Linked DNA regions of Kluyveromyces lactis. The protein of the gene in region 1 interacts with the protein of each later gene in a pairwise test. Links are inferred from orthologs where the notes say so. Each region holds a gene or a part of one and is shown in the gene's direction. Other genes may lie near its edges.

The links. The genes of interacting proteins can lie anywhere in the genome.
Region 2: the proteins of KEX1 (region 1) and SHO1 interact in a protein complementation assay, tested with the Saccharomyces cerevisiae proteins (2 studies listed by BioGRID). The link is inferred for Kluyveromyces lactis from reciprocal best matches to the Saccharomyces cerevisiae genes KEX1 and SHO1.
Region 3: the proteins of KEX1 (region 1) and FLC2 interact in a protein complementation assay, tested with the Saccharomyces cerevisiae proteins (2 studies listed by BioGRID). The link is inferred for Kluyveromyces lactis from reciprocal best matches to the Saccharomyces cerevisiae genes KEX1 and FLC2.
Region 4: the proteins of KEX1 (region 1) and CHS3 interact in binary tests that used the Saccharomyces cerevisiae proteins (3 or more experiments, as listed by UniProt). The link is inferred for Kluyveromyces lactis from reciprocal best matches to the Saccharomyces cerevisiae genes KEX1 and CHS3.

What each region holds. Positions count from the first base shown.
Region 1 is NC_006042.1:922,379-926,636, reverse strand, and holds KEX1 (serine-type carboxypeptidase), read left to right. Parts: upstream 1-1,295; coding exon 1,296-3,224; downstream 3,225-4,258. Other genes in the region: ARO8 (bifunctional 2-aminoadipate transaminase/aromatic-amino-acid:2-oxoglutarate transaminase), read right to left, coding at 1-68; KLLA0_F09977g (uncharacterized protein), read right to left, coding at 3,297-3,911.
Region 2 is NC_006041.1:628,125-631,655, forward strand, and holds SHO1 (osmosensor SHO1), read left to right. Parts: upstream 1-1,652; coding exon 1,653-2,726; downstream 2,727-3,531. Other genes in the region: AVT5 (amino acid transporter), read left to right, coding at 1-1,329; DNA-binding protein kinase TEL1, read right to left, coding at 3,030-3,531. UniProt on the Saccharomyces cerevisiae protein: Plasma membrane osmosensor that activates the high osmolarity glycerol (HOG) MAPK signaling pathway in response to high osmolarity.
Region 3 is NC_006037.1:299,655-304,569, forward strand, and holds FLC2 (flavin adenine dinucleotide transporter FLC2), read left to right. Parts: upstream 1-1,810; coding exon 1,811-4,165; downstream 4,166-4,915. Other genes in the region: ACS1 (acetate--CoA ligase 1), read right to left, coding at 1-11; protein AIM2, read right to left, coding at 4,463-4,915. UniProt on the Saccharomyces cerevisiae protein: May be responsible for the transport of FAD into the endoplasmic reticulum lumen, where it is required for oxidative protein folding.
Region 4 is NC_006040.1:301,672-306,427, reverse strand, and holds the start of CHS3 (chitin synthase CHS3), read left to right. Parts: upstream 1-1,651; coding exon 1,652-4,756. Other genes in the region: KLLA0_D03520g (M20 family metallo-hydrolase), read right to left, coding at 1-523. UniProt on the Saccharomyces cerevisiae protein: Polymerizes chitin, a structural polymer of the cell wall and septum, by transferring the sugar moiety of UDP-GlcNAc to the non-reducing end of the growing chitin polymer.

The sequences.
Region 1 (4,258 bases):
GAAGGCATACGACTTTTAGTCTCATCACTGTACAAGTGTGAAAAATCCTTAGCAACACCTTGAGTCATGATGTAATATGTATTCTCGGTGAAAGCTTTTGGTTCAATTTAGATTGGTTTGATGCTAAGCCAAGATAATATATCTAAAGTATATAAGAATTACAAACAGTGTATAAACCAAATCTAACTGTGTAAACTGCACAAACTAATCCTTCATAACGCGAATGTCTATTCTATCTTTTCATCTCGCAGCTGCTTATATATACACATATTAACATATACATGAGGAATACTGTATGATTCACTACAGCATATACCATACTGGTAAATTTCTCAACTGAAATTGAAAAAAAAAATTCCAGCTGAAAAAGTAACTTTGGAGAAATTTGACTGCAATTAGGTACAGACTTTTAAGTTTTAGAGAGAGCATACTGCGTAAGACTGATAATAGAGGGAAAAAAATAAAGTGCTCGAGATAAAGGTTGTCACTTAACGATAACGACTGGAATGGCTACATCTTTACATCGTAATATCTTTAGATCTTGTGACTATTCTTCACAGGGTTTCTAGTTTTAAGTTGATTTCTGTAATTAAGGTGTCAATGAGAATATGCCATGCAGTGGTCAGCATCGCGGTAAGTAACGGTTAGTGATGCTGTTATTTCCGAGGCAAATGTCTTTGTTATTTTAGGCATTGGGTTTCCTGGTTTGACTTTTTGCCCTGTCGGTGTTTCGTTTTCTTTTTTCAACTACGGTAAAGTACGGTTAGTTGCGGTAACTATGGGGTAGTTGCGGTATTGGAGAGTTCGATCCATGACTCAGGGCCTATTATGTGACTTCTTACCACGGAAATTGTGACCCATGTATTTCCTTTTGTCGTTGACAGGTTTTCATGTTAACAGGCTTTTGGTATTAGTCACGCGATATATATATATCACGTGACTGTTTTTTGCTTACATAGATTTTCTTTTTCAATGGAGGGATATACTGCCAGTGCCAGTTTTGAAAGTTTCGTGTATATTAAAGCTAAATAAAGGCTTGGTAAAAATGAAATTACTTAGGAATATGGTTTTGCTGGGGTGAATCAACGTTAAAAACGCCTATTTGGTTCAGACCTCGCTGTTTATTTCAGTTTGTTAGACATTTATAGGGCCGTATTTGTGTTATAAAAGGTTGCGCTGTGACTCTCGCTCGATATTTTTTATTCTCTTTTTTATCATTTCTCTCTTGCTGATATTAACAGTAAGGTTTCATGGATGAATCACAACAATCATTAGAATATAATTAGAGTGCTGTCATGTCTCTTTGGCTTTTCTTTGTTCAAACGGTTCTTCTCATTCAATGTGCATTGGGAGGTCTTCCAAATGCCAAGGACTATTTAGTGGCCCCCGATTTGTTGCCTGGGTTAAATGACGTTAAAGATAAGGAACTTATCCCGGAAATGCATGCAGGTCATATTCCCTTAGATGATGGTGATGATGATGATGATGATGATGAGAAAAACTATTTCTTTTGGAAGTTCCATGACCTCGCAAATCAGACGTCTGTCGTCGCATCCAAAACTTTAATTATATGGTTAAATGGTGGGCCTGGATGCTCATCTTTAGATGGGGCTCTTATGGAATCAGGTGCGTTACGGATCGATGACGACGGCGAAGCCTATTTAAATCCGGGTTCTTGGCACACTAGAGGTGATATTGTGTTTGTGGATCAACCTGCTGGTACTGGCTTTTCCACGGTAGGTGATTCGAAATATGATAAAGATTTGAACCAAGTTTCAAAGCATTTCATGAAGTTTTTAAAGAACTACTTCAAGATTTTCCCTGATGATTTGGATAAAGACCTTGTTTTGGCAGGAGAATCGTATGCTGGTCAGTATATTCCATTCTTTGCTAATGAAATCCTAAAGTTCAACTCGAAATTGGACAAAGACGACAATGAGGAGGAAAGCCGAAGTGGTAAGAAGTACAATTTAAAGAGTCTGTTGATTGGAAATGGTTGGATTGATCCTGATCAACAATCCTTATCTTACATTCCTTTTGCTTTGGAGAATAACTTAATTTCAACGAAGGCTGATTACTTCCCTGATTTATTAAATATGCATAGTCGTTGTCAAAATTTAGTCAATAATAATGGAGGTAAAAAGTTCTCCTTTGATGAATGTGAAGATATTTTGACCAAAATCCTTTATTACACCCGCAGAAAGACAGATGAAAATGGGAATAAAGTTCCTTCAAATCAGGAGTGTACGAACATATATGATTTTAGATTATTCGATTCCTACCCAGCTTGTGGAAGCAACTGGCCAGATGATTTACCTAGCGTTTCTAAATTCTTGGGTAAGCCAGGTGTGATGGATTCGTTACATTTGGATGTTGATAAAGTCCCACATTGGAGAGAATGTGACAGTAAGGTGAGCAGTCATTTGAAGAACAAGAACACCCAGCCTTCGATTCATTTGTTACCCAATCTATTGAAACACATGCAAATTTTCTTGTTCAATGGTGATAAGGATATCATTTGCAACTCAAGGGGTGTGCAGGATTTGATTAAAAATATGAAATGGAACAATCATACCGGATTTACTAATGATGCCGAATACTATGACTGGCAATACTACGACCAGTTTACAGATGACACAATTTCTGCAGGTTTTGTGAAGCACGAAAGTAATTTGACGTATGTTTCCGTGTACAACGCATCGCATATGGTCCCTTACGATAATGCTTTAATCAGCAGAGGTATTATGGACATCTATTTGAAAGATGTAGAGTTAGTAGTCGGAAAAGACAATCAAGATGATGTTATTATCTCAAAAGACTTCGTTGTACACTCGGACCACTCAACAGGAGAAGAGGAATTGTCAGCTGATCAAAAACAAGATGAAGATGAGAACTCGCACAAGGATAGACACCGGAACTCTGATAAATTCGAAATCGCTGTCATACTTCTGGTCGTTTTCTCAATTACCGGTACCATTGCATATTATTTCTTGCGTGAACGTTTCAGAAAGCAAATACATGCTATTCTAATAGATCCGGAAAATAGGCCACCTTCATCAAACAAATCCGTTGCATGGGCAGATGACATAGAAAACCAGGGCGATGATTTTAAGTTATCCATTGACGAGGCACCCTCTACTGCGGACAAACCAGCAAAAAACAAATCTGGTTATACAAAGGTGCCTAACACTGATGACGATTCATTCGAACTTGATAACCTATAAGATAGAGATATTTAAGTAAAAACATTACTATATCAAACGCTTAAACTTGAGTTACAGTTTTTTTTTGGTTGTTCATTGTAGCTTGAAAAGCTTTTTCAAATGTCCTTGTATAAACCACGTCTTTTTCCTTTTATTTGGTGATATGAGACTATTCGTGAGACTGAAAAACGATCCTTCATGCTGTATCGTTTGTACTCTTTGTGGAAAAATGGAAGATGAACAAGAAGTTACCGATGAATCTACTAGAGATATGTCTGTATTCATCGCATATTGGTGTTTACGCCAGAATATAAGGATTTTCTTGAACAAATGTTTGTAACTATTAGTCTTCAGTGGTGGTCGTTGTGCTTCTTTATAAAGGAGAGCAGAAAGTGATTCTTCAGCAGAAAGATAATTTTGCTGCCTTTCTAAGGTATTGATAGTATCTAATGCTAGCACTTGTGCCCGAAATTCTATCAAGATTTCTTCAATTTTCTCGGGGGATACGTTCACTCCTAGCATTTTCAAATAGTTCAATTCGTCAGCGTCATTAATATAAAAGAAAAAAGGGTCATCATCCAGTAAATTATTGTTCACGTTACAATCTAATGCAACACGTGGTATTTTGCTGCTGTGATGTCCTAGCCGTTGCTCAAGCTTCCTTGTCTCGTTTTCGTCATATGTGGCGCTATGCTCAAAAGATGTCATATTTACAACAGGTTCATCCAGACCGATAATCCTTTTTGCAATCCATTCTTTGAATAATATGCAGGTCTAGTAAAATCAAGTTTGAACGCAATTACTGCTTCTACTGGATAAAACTCACTGCTAGCTACTTTACTTTTTACCAAAATAGACAACTTCAATGTCGCATTTTTACCAACCAGGACACAATACCTACCCATACAAATCATGACTTCAAAATGATTGCTCTCCTGTTTTGTATTTATATCTTATACTCATATATTCCAACTTCTAGTATTCCCTTAATTTGTCCTGTAAAGTTATTCTCTTCTTTGTCCAAAGGCGTTGCACTTCAATCAATAAATTGACAT
Region 2 (3,531 bases), on another chromosome or scaffold:
ACGGCATGCGGGGCTGGTATCCTTGCAATGCCTTATGCTTTTAAACCCTTTGGATTGATTTTGGGTTTGTCAATGATTATATTCTGCGGCTTGTGTTCCTCTACGGGGTTATATTTACAATCATACGTGTCGAAATACGTTCCTCCTGGACATGCCTCGTTTTTCACTCTTTGCAGATTAACTCGTCCTGAATTGAGCGTCGTTTTCGATGCTGCAATTGCTGTTAAATGTTTTGGGGTCGGAGTTTCATATTTGGTGGTCGTTGGAGATTTGTTACCACAGATAATGTCCACGTTTACAACCCATGGGTGGCTCTTATCACGCCAGTTTCACATCACTGCAGTTACGTTGATCATCGTGACACCGTTGTGTTTCATTAAGAAGTTAGACTCTTTAAGGTACACTTCTTCCATTGCAATTACAGCAGTTGGGTACTTATGCGTATTAGTTGTCTTCCATTTTGCCGTTCCAAATAGCGAAATCGACCATTTAAGAGGCCATGTTAGCATCTGGAAACCCAGTGATGTGGATTCATCCATGCTAAGCAGTTTTCCAATTTTCGTTTTCGCGTATACTTGCCATCACAACATGTTTTCCATCATCAATGAACAATCAGACAAATCTTTAGACAGTATAACGAAATTGATTAGGATTGCCATTACGCTAGCAATGTCTTTGTACATTTCCATTGGAGCGCTAGGTTATTGCACCTTCGGTGATCATATTACTGGTAACATTATCACCTTATACCCAAACTCCATTTCCAGCACCATCGGTAGAATAGCTATAGCATTGTTAGTGATCCTTGCCTTCCCGCTACAATGTCATCCAGCTAGAGCATCTGTCAATCATATCTTACATTACTTCTCCAAGGGGAACACCCATCCCCCAATGACAACCACAAGTGCAGAACAAAACAGTCTATTACGGGACTCTGAACTCGAATCTAGCGAACAGTTAACCTACGAATGCGAAGACGAATTAATTGAAGAAAACAGCGCTAATCAGCCTCCAGTAGTAACGTTAGAAGGCCCTAGATTCATCTTTATCACGTCTGGAATCCTATTATTTTCGTACATCCTCGCTATGAGTGTTACGTCGCTAGCAAACGTTTTGTCAATAGTAGGAGCAACCGGATCCACTTCTATATCCTTCATCTTACCTGGAATATTTGGCTACAAGTTAATCGCATCGGAGTACGCCAAATCCGTTGTACCACCAGCAAAAGAACGAATCTTGAGAATTATCTCATTGTTACTTGCTATTTGGGGATTCATCGTCATGATAACTTCACTAAGTGCTACCATATTTCTACATGCGACACATTGAGGGTACAGGATAAACAGGGTACTAGAGACTAACCATTGATACTGCTACCAATTGTACTCCCGATTGACACTCTAAATAAGCGGCCCGCGTATTCCTAGCGAGCCTTTGGTTGCTGCCTGTCACATGATCAAAAAATAACTCATCTCTCATTGTAGACAGACACCAAAAAAAATGATAAATGTATACCGTATATACATAAATATAAAAAGTAATCAATACGAACATACTTGAACTTGAAGCAAGTTTATTTCAATTTTAGTTGTTGTGTTGTCACAAGTGTTCCAATAGTCCAGCGAGGCAAGGGAATATCTGCAAACAGAGAGATGGCGTTGATTAAAGCAAGTCAAGCCCGTGCTGTAAGGGAGAATCCGCATGTATCTCATCAATTTAACATCTCGTCATTTTTGGGCGATCCTTTTGCCATAGGCACACTTAGTATTGCATTGATCTCATGGATCATTGCATTGGCGGGATCCATTGCTGTTGCAGCATCTACGTCTCCATTCCCAAGATTTTCTTGGTGGACTATAGTTTACGAGATACTACTAATGATTACGCTTTTTATCGTGTACTGTTTGGATTTAGTTGACTACTATAGAATGTTCATTACTTGTGCTGTTGGTATCGCATTCGTATATACTTCGAATAGTACTAACAGTATTGTGTACTATGAAGGGTCCAAGAGTGGTGCAGCAGCAGCAGGATTTATCTTGTTATCCATGATCAATTTGGTGTGGGTGATTTATTTTGGTGGAGATAATGCATCTCCAACCAATAGATGGATCGATTCGTTCTCACTACGCGGAATTCGTCCTTCGGTGCTAGAGACATCCATGGCTATTGCCAGATCGCAGAGACTGCCGGTCAAACCTTCTTACCCATACCAATACCAGGAAGACTTGCGTTCAGCATCTCTGCCTGATGTCCACCACGATGACGAAGGTGAGGGCCACAGTGGCAACATGTATGCGCCAGAACTTCAATCGTCTACAAAGTATGTGTCGTCTACAGTGCTGAACGGATTTGAAAATACAGATCATTCCTCTTCGAAACCAAACCTTGATGTTAATGCGCAAAATACTGCTACACTGAATACACAGGCCACTGGCACTTTCATCACAGATACCACCAATGCCAACACAGATACTACCATGGGAGACACATTAGGCCTATACAGTGACATTGGTGAAGAATTAAACAGTTTCCCATACACTGCAGAGGCTTTATATACCTATCAAGCGGACCAAACTGACGCGTATGAAATATCCTTCGAACAGGGCGAAATTCTCAGGGTTGGTGATATCGAGGGTAGATGGTGGAAAGCCAAGAAGTCAAACGGGGAAACAGGGATTATCCCAAGTAATTACGTTAAGCTTTTGGATGGGAAATCACACTGATTTTATTACTGCCTCCCATCAGTTTGTATCATTAAACATTTGATTTGTGTATCGTCTTTTATATTATATTATTTCCACAGTTTGCAATAACAACCGGCTTATCAACCTTATTCGCGAAAAATTCAAGTGCTTTTATCAACACAGTTACTGAATTCTTCATTAACACGCAAATACTTGCTTCGAATGAATCATGCTATTTAATGAATATGCTATTATTTATAATTATACTGCTTGCAAATCGCTTCAGGTGCTGGTAGTATAATAAAGTCTTCATCTCGAGTAAGAACTTCAAACACATCAATCTTAATAAAATGGGGACCATCCCATGTAAATTGTCGCTAAATTTTGTTTGTCAGTAGCACTGGACAAAAGCTCCTGAACAATTGCTTCAACGCTCAAACCGTCTCCATATAACTTACTTTCAACTCCCTTTAGTGCTCTTATGGATTCATCATTATTATTATCTTCTTCTAAAAGCTCGCTGAAATCTGCATCGGAAACACTAATTTCCTCCTCATCATAATCACCAGTAAACTTTGCTTGCAATCTTTGCTTCTTCAAGGGAGTCATCTTCCATGAATATAATGGGTCCCATTTCAGAACATTTAGAACACATAATAATCGCTCTTTCTCGTCTTGTAACACCTTAAATACTCTTTCGCAGTTATTTCTAAACAAACCTTCGATACCTGCTACGCCAAATCCGTCTACAATATCCCTTGTTAGTCTAAAGGGAACCAGTTCCGGTATTGGCAATAGCTTTCCCTGATCAAATGCCACTCCAAGATCAATATGAATGGGTTCA
Region 3 (4,915 bases), on another chromosome or scaffold:
GCAGGAGACATTTGGCACAAAATATGGATTTTTATATCACTACTACCTCTGTCACCCTGTTAGATAATTGTGTTTGATTACTAGTATTAGCCAACAACTAACATATAAACATAATTATTATATAAATACACCATACTTCAAACTCACATGATGTCCAACAGTTACAAAACTCTTGTCTATTTAAATACTATTCCATCAAGTCAAATCATTGTTTTCCCCTCACTAATTACAATATGGATAAATAAGAACGATGATCATTCATTCATTCGCTTAGAAAGTAATCGAAAACATGTATCAATTAAGAAAAGAATGGGTCATTATTTTTTTCCTGTTTCTGTTGAGAACTCAGAGATGTGATAGTAATTAGCTATCTTGTAATTGCCATCGAGAGAGGAAACAAAGAGTAAAATGGGAAACCAGATAATGGAGAGGCTACGGAGTCACTAACGGAGTGGATACGGAATAGATACGGAGTAGCGATTAAAGATGAAGATGATCTCTGAGTATCGTATCATGTTGAGAATTGAACCCTTAATTTTGTCCAAGTGTCTCTCTTCTATTGTTCCAGCCTTTCTAGTCAGTTCCCGTTTACGTGTAGCATAGCCTGTCAAGAAGCGGCCCAGAGCTTATACGAGACGATTTCATTTGACATGTCTGGGATTTTCCCCTTCTTTTTCGATTGCTCCAATTTTGGAGAACTGCCGCGTTTAACGCGTTTTGCAGTGCGGTTGTGAGGGGAAATCAATGTGGATCCAGCCGGTCGCACCGGGTCATCCATCCATCCAGTTTTTTTTTTTTTGAGAAGAGAATATTTGTGGAGAAAAAAATAAGAATTATAGGAAGCAGAAAAGATGACTAGGGGAGAAGCAGTGGAGAGAAGCTATGCCTGTGCTCTGCCTGGTTTTTCTTAAGTTTTGCTTGGGTTTTGCGTGCTCGGCGGTTAAACGAATGGGAAAGCTTCCATTAATCCTCTCGGTACCACCCGGACAGTTTTTGGGAAAGTGTTCTGTACAGAAAAAAATCGGGGTTGTTACGTTATCGAGCATACAACCCTGGAGGGGAGAAGAGAGACGGACAATGGACATTCGTCCGTTGTCTGTTTATTGCGTAAACAGGGTCCTGTGTCCAGTATCACAGCCTTACCCGAATCCACCACTGTGGAAACACGTGACTTCCACTGCTTTATTACCCTGATATACACACGTGACTCGCGAATCAAGAGATCAAACTTCTGATATTGCATTAAAAAAAAACTACTATTTTCTTGTTAGGAATATAGAAAACAAATAATACGTATACTATGCTAATGCAGCATTCTTCCCTTTTTCCTGTAACTGACAATGCAAAGGGAACAACAGCCTTGATTTGAGGAAATAGAGCGAACAGGATAGGCAGGAATACACCCTTTACAATCAGTCTACCGTTGCACTGTGCCTCTCCCCTTCTTATCTGACTTCATGTATACTTATTTTCGCTATATACTTGCTGTAGGTCCCGTGATTTCGTGTACCTCACATCGTACGCATCCTGGTTAACGGTGAATGCTGCGCCTTTTCAATTTCTTTACCGTTTTGGTATTTCCAAAAATAACAATTTCTCAACATTGAAATTATTGAAATTTCAGTTGAAATAAGTTTATTTGATTTGACTTTAACCTTTATCGACTTTTAAATAGAGAATCTTATTGCGTTAGTGTTAATGGTAACCTTCCCTTTAGAGTTGTATACCATCAAAGATTACATACCTTAAACAAAGCAGAGACTACTAAGCTGCAGCTGCTCCCCAGTATACACTTGTTGTTCTTGTCATCATGCGGGCCTTTTCTCTGCTTGTCGGATTTCTCACGACATTGGTGATTTTACCGTTCACCAATGGTCTCAAACACATCAAGACGTCCTCGCTTCTCACTTGCATGGAAGACTCGCAATTTTCTGCGTCGTTCTTCGAAGTCACTTTCTTCCCCGATAATAAGACCGCTGTGTTTGATATCGATGCTACTACCACCATTAGCGAAAATGTCACTGCCAAGATCGAATTAATCATTTATGGGCTAAACGTCCTCAACGAAGAGTTCAACTTATGTGATTTGGACCAAGCCTCCATGTGTCCTCTAAGTGCAGGTAGAATCGAGGTAAAATCCACGTATTCTTTGGATGAGGATAACGACATGGTTGGTAACATTCCAGGGGTCGCGTACACAGTTCCTGATATCGACGCACAAGTGCGTGTCATCGTTTACTCAACAAACGATACAAGTTTCGAAGAGCCACTAGCGTGTGTGCAAGCTGCTCTGTCCAATGGTAAGACCGTTCAGACCAAATATGCTGCTTGGCCTATCGCTGCGATTTCAGGATTGGGTGTTATCACGTCAGCTATCGTTTCAGTTATTGGACATTCCACCACAGCTGCTCATATTGCTTCTAACTCCATCTCATTGTTTGTGTACTTCCAAAATTTGGCTATCACTTCGATGATGGGTGTGGCGCGTGTCCCACCTATCGCTGCCGCTTGGACCCAAAATTTCCAATGGTCCATGGGTATGATTAAAGTGGGGTTCATGCAAAATATATTCGATTGGTATGTTACTGCTACTGGCGGTACCCCTGTTGTGGTCGTAGCAAACAAAGATATTCTATCCATCTCAGTGCAGAAAAGAGGATTTACAACGCAGTTTAACGATTTTGCGAAAAGATCATTAGACAGTTTAACCACTGGTCTTTACAAAAGAATATCTGCTGATGATGGGTACGATTTCACTAAGTTGCTTTCCGAAAGTGATTTATACACTTCGGATGAGAGAAACATTGATGACATTTCTTCTAAAGTTATTGTCTTTACTGGTATTAAGCGTGTCGCGTACTTGGCCGGCATTGAATTGAGTAATGTCTTTTTGACAGGTATCGTCTTCACTCTTTTCTTTGTCTTCTGTATGGTTATCGGTATGGCAGTCTTCAAAGCTGTCATCGAATTGCTAATGAGAGCAGGATACATGAAACAGACTTCAAAATTTTACGAATATAGAAGATCCTGGGCCAGTATTATCAAAGGTACCTTGTTCAGAATCTGCATCATTGCCTTCCCACAGGTTTCCATTCTATCCATATGGGAATTCACTCAAATTGATTCCGTCGCTGTGGTTATTGCCGCTGTCGTCATACTTATTGTTGTCTCAGGATTACTATTGTATGGCGTCGTGAGGGTGATCATAAGAGGGAGAGAATCTACACGTTTATACAAAACCCCAGCATACATGCTCTATGGTGATGCTCCGTTCTTGAATAGATTCGGTTTCTTGTACGTTCAATTCAAGGCTGAAATGTACTGGTGGTTGATGCCATTATTAGCATACATGTTCTTCAGATCTTTGTTTGTTGCCGTACTTCAAGAACACGGGAAACCTCAAGCAATGATCATTTTCGTTATAGAATTGGCATATTTCATTGCATTATGTTGGTTAAGACCTTACTTGGATAAACGTACCAATGCGTTCAATATCGTGATTCATGCGGTCAACTTGTTCAATTCTATCTTATTTTTATTCTTCTCGAACTTGTTCAGACAACCTACTGTGGTTTCCAGTGTTATGGCAGTCATACTATTTGTCGTGAACGCTATTTTTGCACTATTCCTCATGATCTTCACTATTGTTACGTGTGTGTTGGCCTTGGTTCACAAGAACCCAGATGCTCGTTACCAACCAATGAAGGATGATCGTGTTTCTTTCATTCCAAAGGTTCAAACAAAGGGTGAAACAGGAGAATTGTTCGATTTGGGTAGAGCTGCTATGCACACTAACGAACCACCTTTAAAAGACGAATTTGAAATGAAACAATCAAATAATTCTGCAAGATTATTGTTTGATGAAGATATCGACGACTCTAATACCACATACGATACTTCATCTCGTATTAGAAGATTTGACTCTTCGAGCGGAAACGAACCATTGCAGCCAAGTTCTGCCGTCATGGGGGACAATACCACGAGTTATAACCGTGTTCCAACAGCTCCAAGCACTACAAATTTAAGGAAACCGGAAAACTCCTTCTCTGCTAACACACAATATCAAGGTTTCTCTGGTAGCAACCCATATTTGAACGAAAACCCAAGCTACAACAGTTTTACCAGACAAACGAATAATAAATCTGACAATGTACCGTATTTGTAAGCTCTTACACATACACTCTGGTATTCAAGAACGCGAGCAATTGTATAATAATTCCAAGACAAGAAATCATTAAGAATTAAGATGTATATACATTCTATGAACATCTGCACCTTTTTGCATTCTTCCTCCCACATGTGGTTGCGCATATTAGCCATCGGAGAAACAAACAATTAAGGAAGCAATGAATAGTTGAACTAAATATACATATGTAAACTTACAACGTAACTTTAACATTCAAAAATCAAAGGAAAATGTAGTTACATCCTGCAAAAGCTAACAGATATATAGTTAAGCTTTTCAGATGCAATTGAAGAAGAATTTGAAGAATGAAATTTGGTCTTCGATGGTTTTGTCTTGAGCATATCTCACTGCTGGAATGCTTAAGTCACCTCTGACAGCAAACCCATGGGAAACACCGCCAAATACATTGATTTGGTAGTAGCTGCCTTGTTTTTTTAAAGCTTCTTCGGTCTTATATCTTAATTCTTCAGGGAAGATGTTATCAGTTTCAGCTGCAGAAATCAGCACTGGCTTTTTACCAACTGCTTCCACTTCTTCGATCTCAACGAATGATGGGTGAGCAAGGGCAGCTGCATCAGCCAAACCGACTTTTTCATTGATTTGTAATAAAGCGTATTTGGCACCGAAACAGTGACCGATAACACCAATCTTCTTTGGGTTAGTGTCCTCCTTCAACTTGGTCAAGAAATCTTGGACTAGACCGTGGGTCTTTTCGGCGCTGTGCCTTTC
Region 4 (4,756 bases), on another chromosome or scaffold:
CAGAAGACCCAGTACAAGATCTGGCAAATCTGGCACCTTCTTCATTGAACCAAACGACAACGCACACGTCATAATTTGGGACGTAATTGTTATCTTTGAACGTTCTTAGAACTTCTAACCCGGCTAAGACACCCAATATACCATCGTATTTACCAGCTTCTGGCTGAGTGTCGAGATGCGAGCCTGTCGCAGTTGGTTTAGTCCCACTGTTCTTACCTGGATATATGGCGAAAATGTTACCAATTTGGTCAATTTTAATGGAACAACCAAGATCTTTACATTCACGAACAAACCAATCTCTCATCTTACCGTCTAATTCGGTCCCTGCAAGTCTCCTCATACCAAATTCGTGACGTTCTTCACCCCATCTGGCAACACCTCCAAATTCGCTGCCGGTAGATAAGATTGTATCGTTCAATCTTCCAGGAGCAATCTGCAAAGGAACATGGCCGACGAGATTGATTGTGCCTGTCGCAGAATCAGTAGTTGTAGTTGTAGTTGTTGGAGCAATGGTAGATGTCATAAGTTTTCTTTTTTGATGTTTATGTATTGTTTGTAGCTCAAACTAGCTCCATACTGAACAGGAAAGGGAACATCATAACCTGGAGACAAACAAGAATACCAACTCTAGTATACATATATATATATTTATGTTTTGAAACATGTCTTATAGTCAATATCTTGCAACCTATCGATATCTCTCGCTTATCGAGTTGCAGCCTTTAACCTAATTCTATCTAGGTAGTCCATTTTTTTTTGCGACGTTATCAAATGCGAGATAGGGTTCCAAATAAACTAAACAGTTGCCAATTCGAAGAACGGAATCAGATTCGGAAAAAAAGTTCATGATAATCATATCATATACAGGATCACCATACCCGAGATCTCAGGTCGGTACTTGCCGTGGTTGCTTGGATCAGGCTTTTTTCCTCATCACCGGCTCATGTGTCGATCTCTTTTACTCTGTAACTTGTTGCAGCACACATCGTAATATATATATATATATATATATATATATTACTGGTCCCCTAAAGATTCGAACCCGGGAACACACGCACCGCTTGTGCTCCGGAATATCCGAGAAAATTCTTGATTAGGAGTAGCCTCACGTGACAAGTCCTTTAACCCAATCGGGTAAAAGAATGGACGCCATTCCCATGAAATATCCGGGTAAATATAATCTGAAGTAAATCCCAGGTTTCGAAAAAGCTAACACAGAAACCATCATCTCCATCATCAGCATTAGAACATTAATATTATTGTCATTGTTTATGTCTAATTCTTGAAATATTTACATGTTGCAGACTGCGCACCAATCGTGAGATTTCCCTTCGAAGATACCCTGTTGTTTTCTGCTTTTATCATACGTGCGGTTAGAGTGTTGCATACATACCATTCGGTGCATTTAGTCCCCATTCGTTTCAATACTAAAGAATCTGATCTGTGATAAAAATAGTAATTGACTTAAAACTCGGAAAAAAAATATTGACAATAAAATAATAGCAACATTGTCTGTTCTATTCATTTCACATTACGGATATTAACTGCTGTTTTCTACCATCATTTGAGGTCATATATCTATTTATTTTCGACTGTGGTTTTTTTTGTTGTCCGATTTCTTCATTTTGAACACAATATCATTTAGACCCTCATGTCTGATGATTACTATGCATTTGACAACGAGTCACTGTTGAAATCTCGGTCTCAGAGACAGATTTCAAGACAAGGCTCTTTGGTCAGACCTGAAAGAAATAGTTTTAAAGATCCAGACCATCCATACCATTATTATGCTTTAAAAGCGAAGGAAACTCATCTTCAGATCAATCCTTCCACAACAGGTGCTTTGCCTGAAGAGTCCTCGTTGGATATTCCAATGCAAGACCTGAATGTACAGTCAAACGATAAACTTCCAAGTTCTTCTTTGAACACAGTGGGTGAATATGGTGAACCAAATGAAAGGTTGGTAATGGAGGGTAGCGATGGGTTTGAAAAGAAAAACAGTATTTATTCAGAAAAGAACGTGTCTCCTCCAATAGAGATCGGACAAAGGTTAGAATCTAAGGCCAAAGATCAAAACAAGCCCAAAGTGGGCTTTTCGTTATGGCAATCGTACTGTTTTTTGATTACAATCTTCATTCCTCCTTCCGTTTTAAAATTGTTTGGCATGAAGACAAAAGCGGTTCAAAGAGCATGGAGAGATAAAATTGGGTTGATTTCAATCATCTTTTATATTGGAGCGTTTGTCGCTTACCTGACTTTCGGGTTCACAAGAACTGTCTGTGTTCCAGGCAAAGTAAGGATGCGCAACAATGAAGCCACCACAGGACAATTAATTATTCATGGACAGGCATACTCTCTAGAATCTTCTTCTCATCCAGCTGCAGCTGGTATCCCTGGGGGATCTAATATTCTATATCCTCCTGTGAATGCTGGTGGCATGGACGCGTCTTTCCTTTTCCAAAACGTTAACGGTAACTGCAAAGGGTTGATTGAACCAAGAGAAAATTCTACTATTCCTTTCGATGACGACGGAAATATGGCATGGTACTTCCCATGCAAACTTGTTAACCAAGATGGTTCAAGTAAACCTAACTTCACAGAGTCAGAATACTACGCTGGCTGGGGTTGTCACACGAGCTCGACTGCCAGGGAACAGTACTATGCCCTTAATGCCCCGGCGGAGGTATACTTCTCCTGGGAGGATATTAAAAATTCTACGAGAAAGTTGATTGTATATAATGGTGACGTTATTGATTTGGGGATCTTAGACTGGCTAGAAACTGACGATCTTACATATCCAGAGACATTTGATGTCTTGAAATCAGCCAATTTAGAAGGTTATGACATTTCATTGGTCTTATCCACTAGCAGAGAAAGAAATGTAGCCCGTTGTCTCGTTGAACTTGCTAAGGTTGGTGTTATTGATTCAGAAAGTATCGGCTGTATTGCTTCTCAAGTGGTATTATATTTATCTTTGGTATTCATTCTATCCGTTGTCGGTTGTAAATTCTTCATCGCGTGCTACTTCCACTACTTTGTAGCAAAAAAACAAGGTGCGTACACTGTTGACAACAAACAACTCGCCAAACATAATAACGACTTAGAAGATTGGTCAGAAGATATCAATTCTCGTGGTCCTTTGAAGCCCGTTGATCCATCATTAAGACCAATGAAGAAAAATCATAAAAAAAACAGCTCCAGTATCAGTTTATTCAACCGTAAATCCCGATTTAGCCAACAATCATTGGGTAAATCTGTACACTTGAATGATCCTGTCATTCAGAGCCTTGAAAGTACTGGTATGTCTACAATGACTACACAATCCGTGCTGAAATCAGCATATATGAATGAAATGAAGAGAAAAAGTGCACATGCTGGATTCGCCTCGCAGTCAAGACCGGTCTCCACTATTAATCCTTTTTCCGACAATCTTGATCCTTTCGGTACTTCAATGACTATGGAATCGTTAGATCCAACGATCATTCACCCCGATGCAGTATTACAGCCGCCCCCAGACTTCATGCCCTATGGATTTCCATTGGTTCACTCACTCTGCTGTGTCACCTGTTATTCAGAAGATGAGGTAGGTTTAAGAACAACATTAGATTCCATTGCAACCACAGATTATCCAAACTCTCATAAATTAATCGTTGTAATCTGCGATGGTATTATTAAAGGTTCTGGTAATGACAGAACCACCCCGGACATAGTATTAGATATGATGGAAGACTTTGTGATTCCCAAGGAGCAAGTTACAGCTTATCCTTACGTTGCAATTGCAGTTGGCGCAAAAAGACATAATATGGCAAAAATATATGCTGGGTTTTATAAATACGATGAATCCACCATACCCGCCGAAAATCAGCAACGTGTTCCAATTATCACCATTGTAAAATGTGGTACAGCTGAAGAACAAGGCTCAGCGAAGCCTGGTAACAGAGGTAAGCGTGATTCACAAATTATATTGATGTCTTTCCTACAAAAAGTGACTTTTGATGAAAGAATGTCGGCTTTAGAGTTCCAACTAATGAAAAATATATGGCAAATTACAGGGTTAATGGCTAATTTTTATGAAACAGTATTAATGGTTGATGCAGATACTAAGGTTTTCCCAGACTCTTTGACTCATATGCTTTCAGAAATGGTGCATGATCCATTAATCATGGGATTGTGCGGTGAGACTAAAATCGCCAATAAAGGTGAATCGTGGGTTAGTGCAATCCAAGTTTTTGAGTATTTTATTTCTCATCATCAGTCTAAGGCGTTTGAATCGGTTTTCGGTTCCGTAACGTGTTTGCCAGGTTGTTTTTCTGTTTATAGAATTAAGACGCCGAAAGGTAAAGACGGATTTTGGGTTCCTATTCTTGCGAATCCGGATATCGTCGAAAGGTATTCAGATAACGTTACGGACACATTGCATAAGAAGAATCTATTATTATTAGGTGAAGATAGATATCTATCATCACTACTTTTGAAAACATTCCCCAAACGTAAAACAGTTTTTGTTCCTAAGGCTGCTTGTAAAACCGTTGTTCCAGCCACTTTCAAAGTTTTGCTTTCCCAAAGAAGACGTTGGATTAACTCTACTGTCCACAATTTGTTTGAGTTGGTCTTAGTGAAGGATCTTTGTGGTACTTTTTGTTTCTCAATGCAATTCATCATCGCAATGGAGCTTGTGGGAACACTAGTTTTACCTTTGGCTATTTGTTTCACAGTCTATGTCATCATTTTTGCCATTGTTTCCCACCCAACTCCC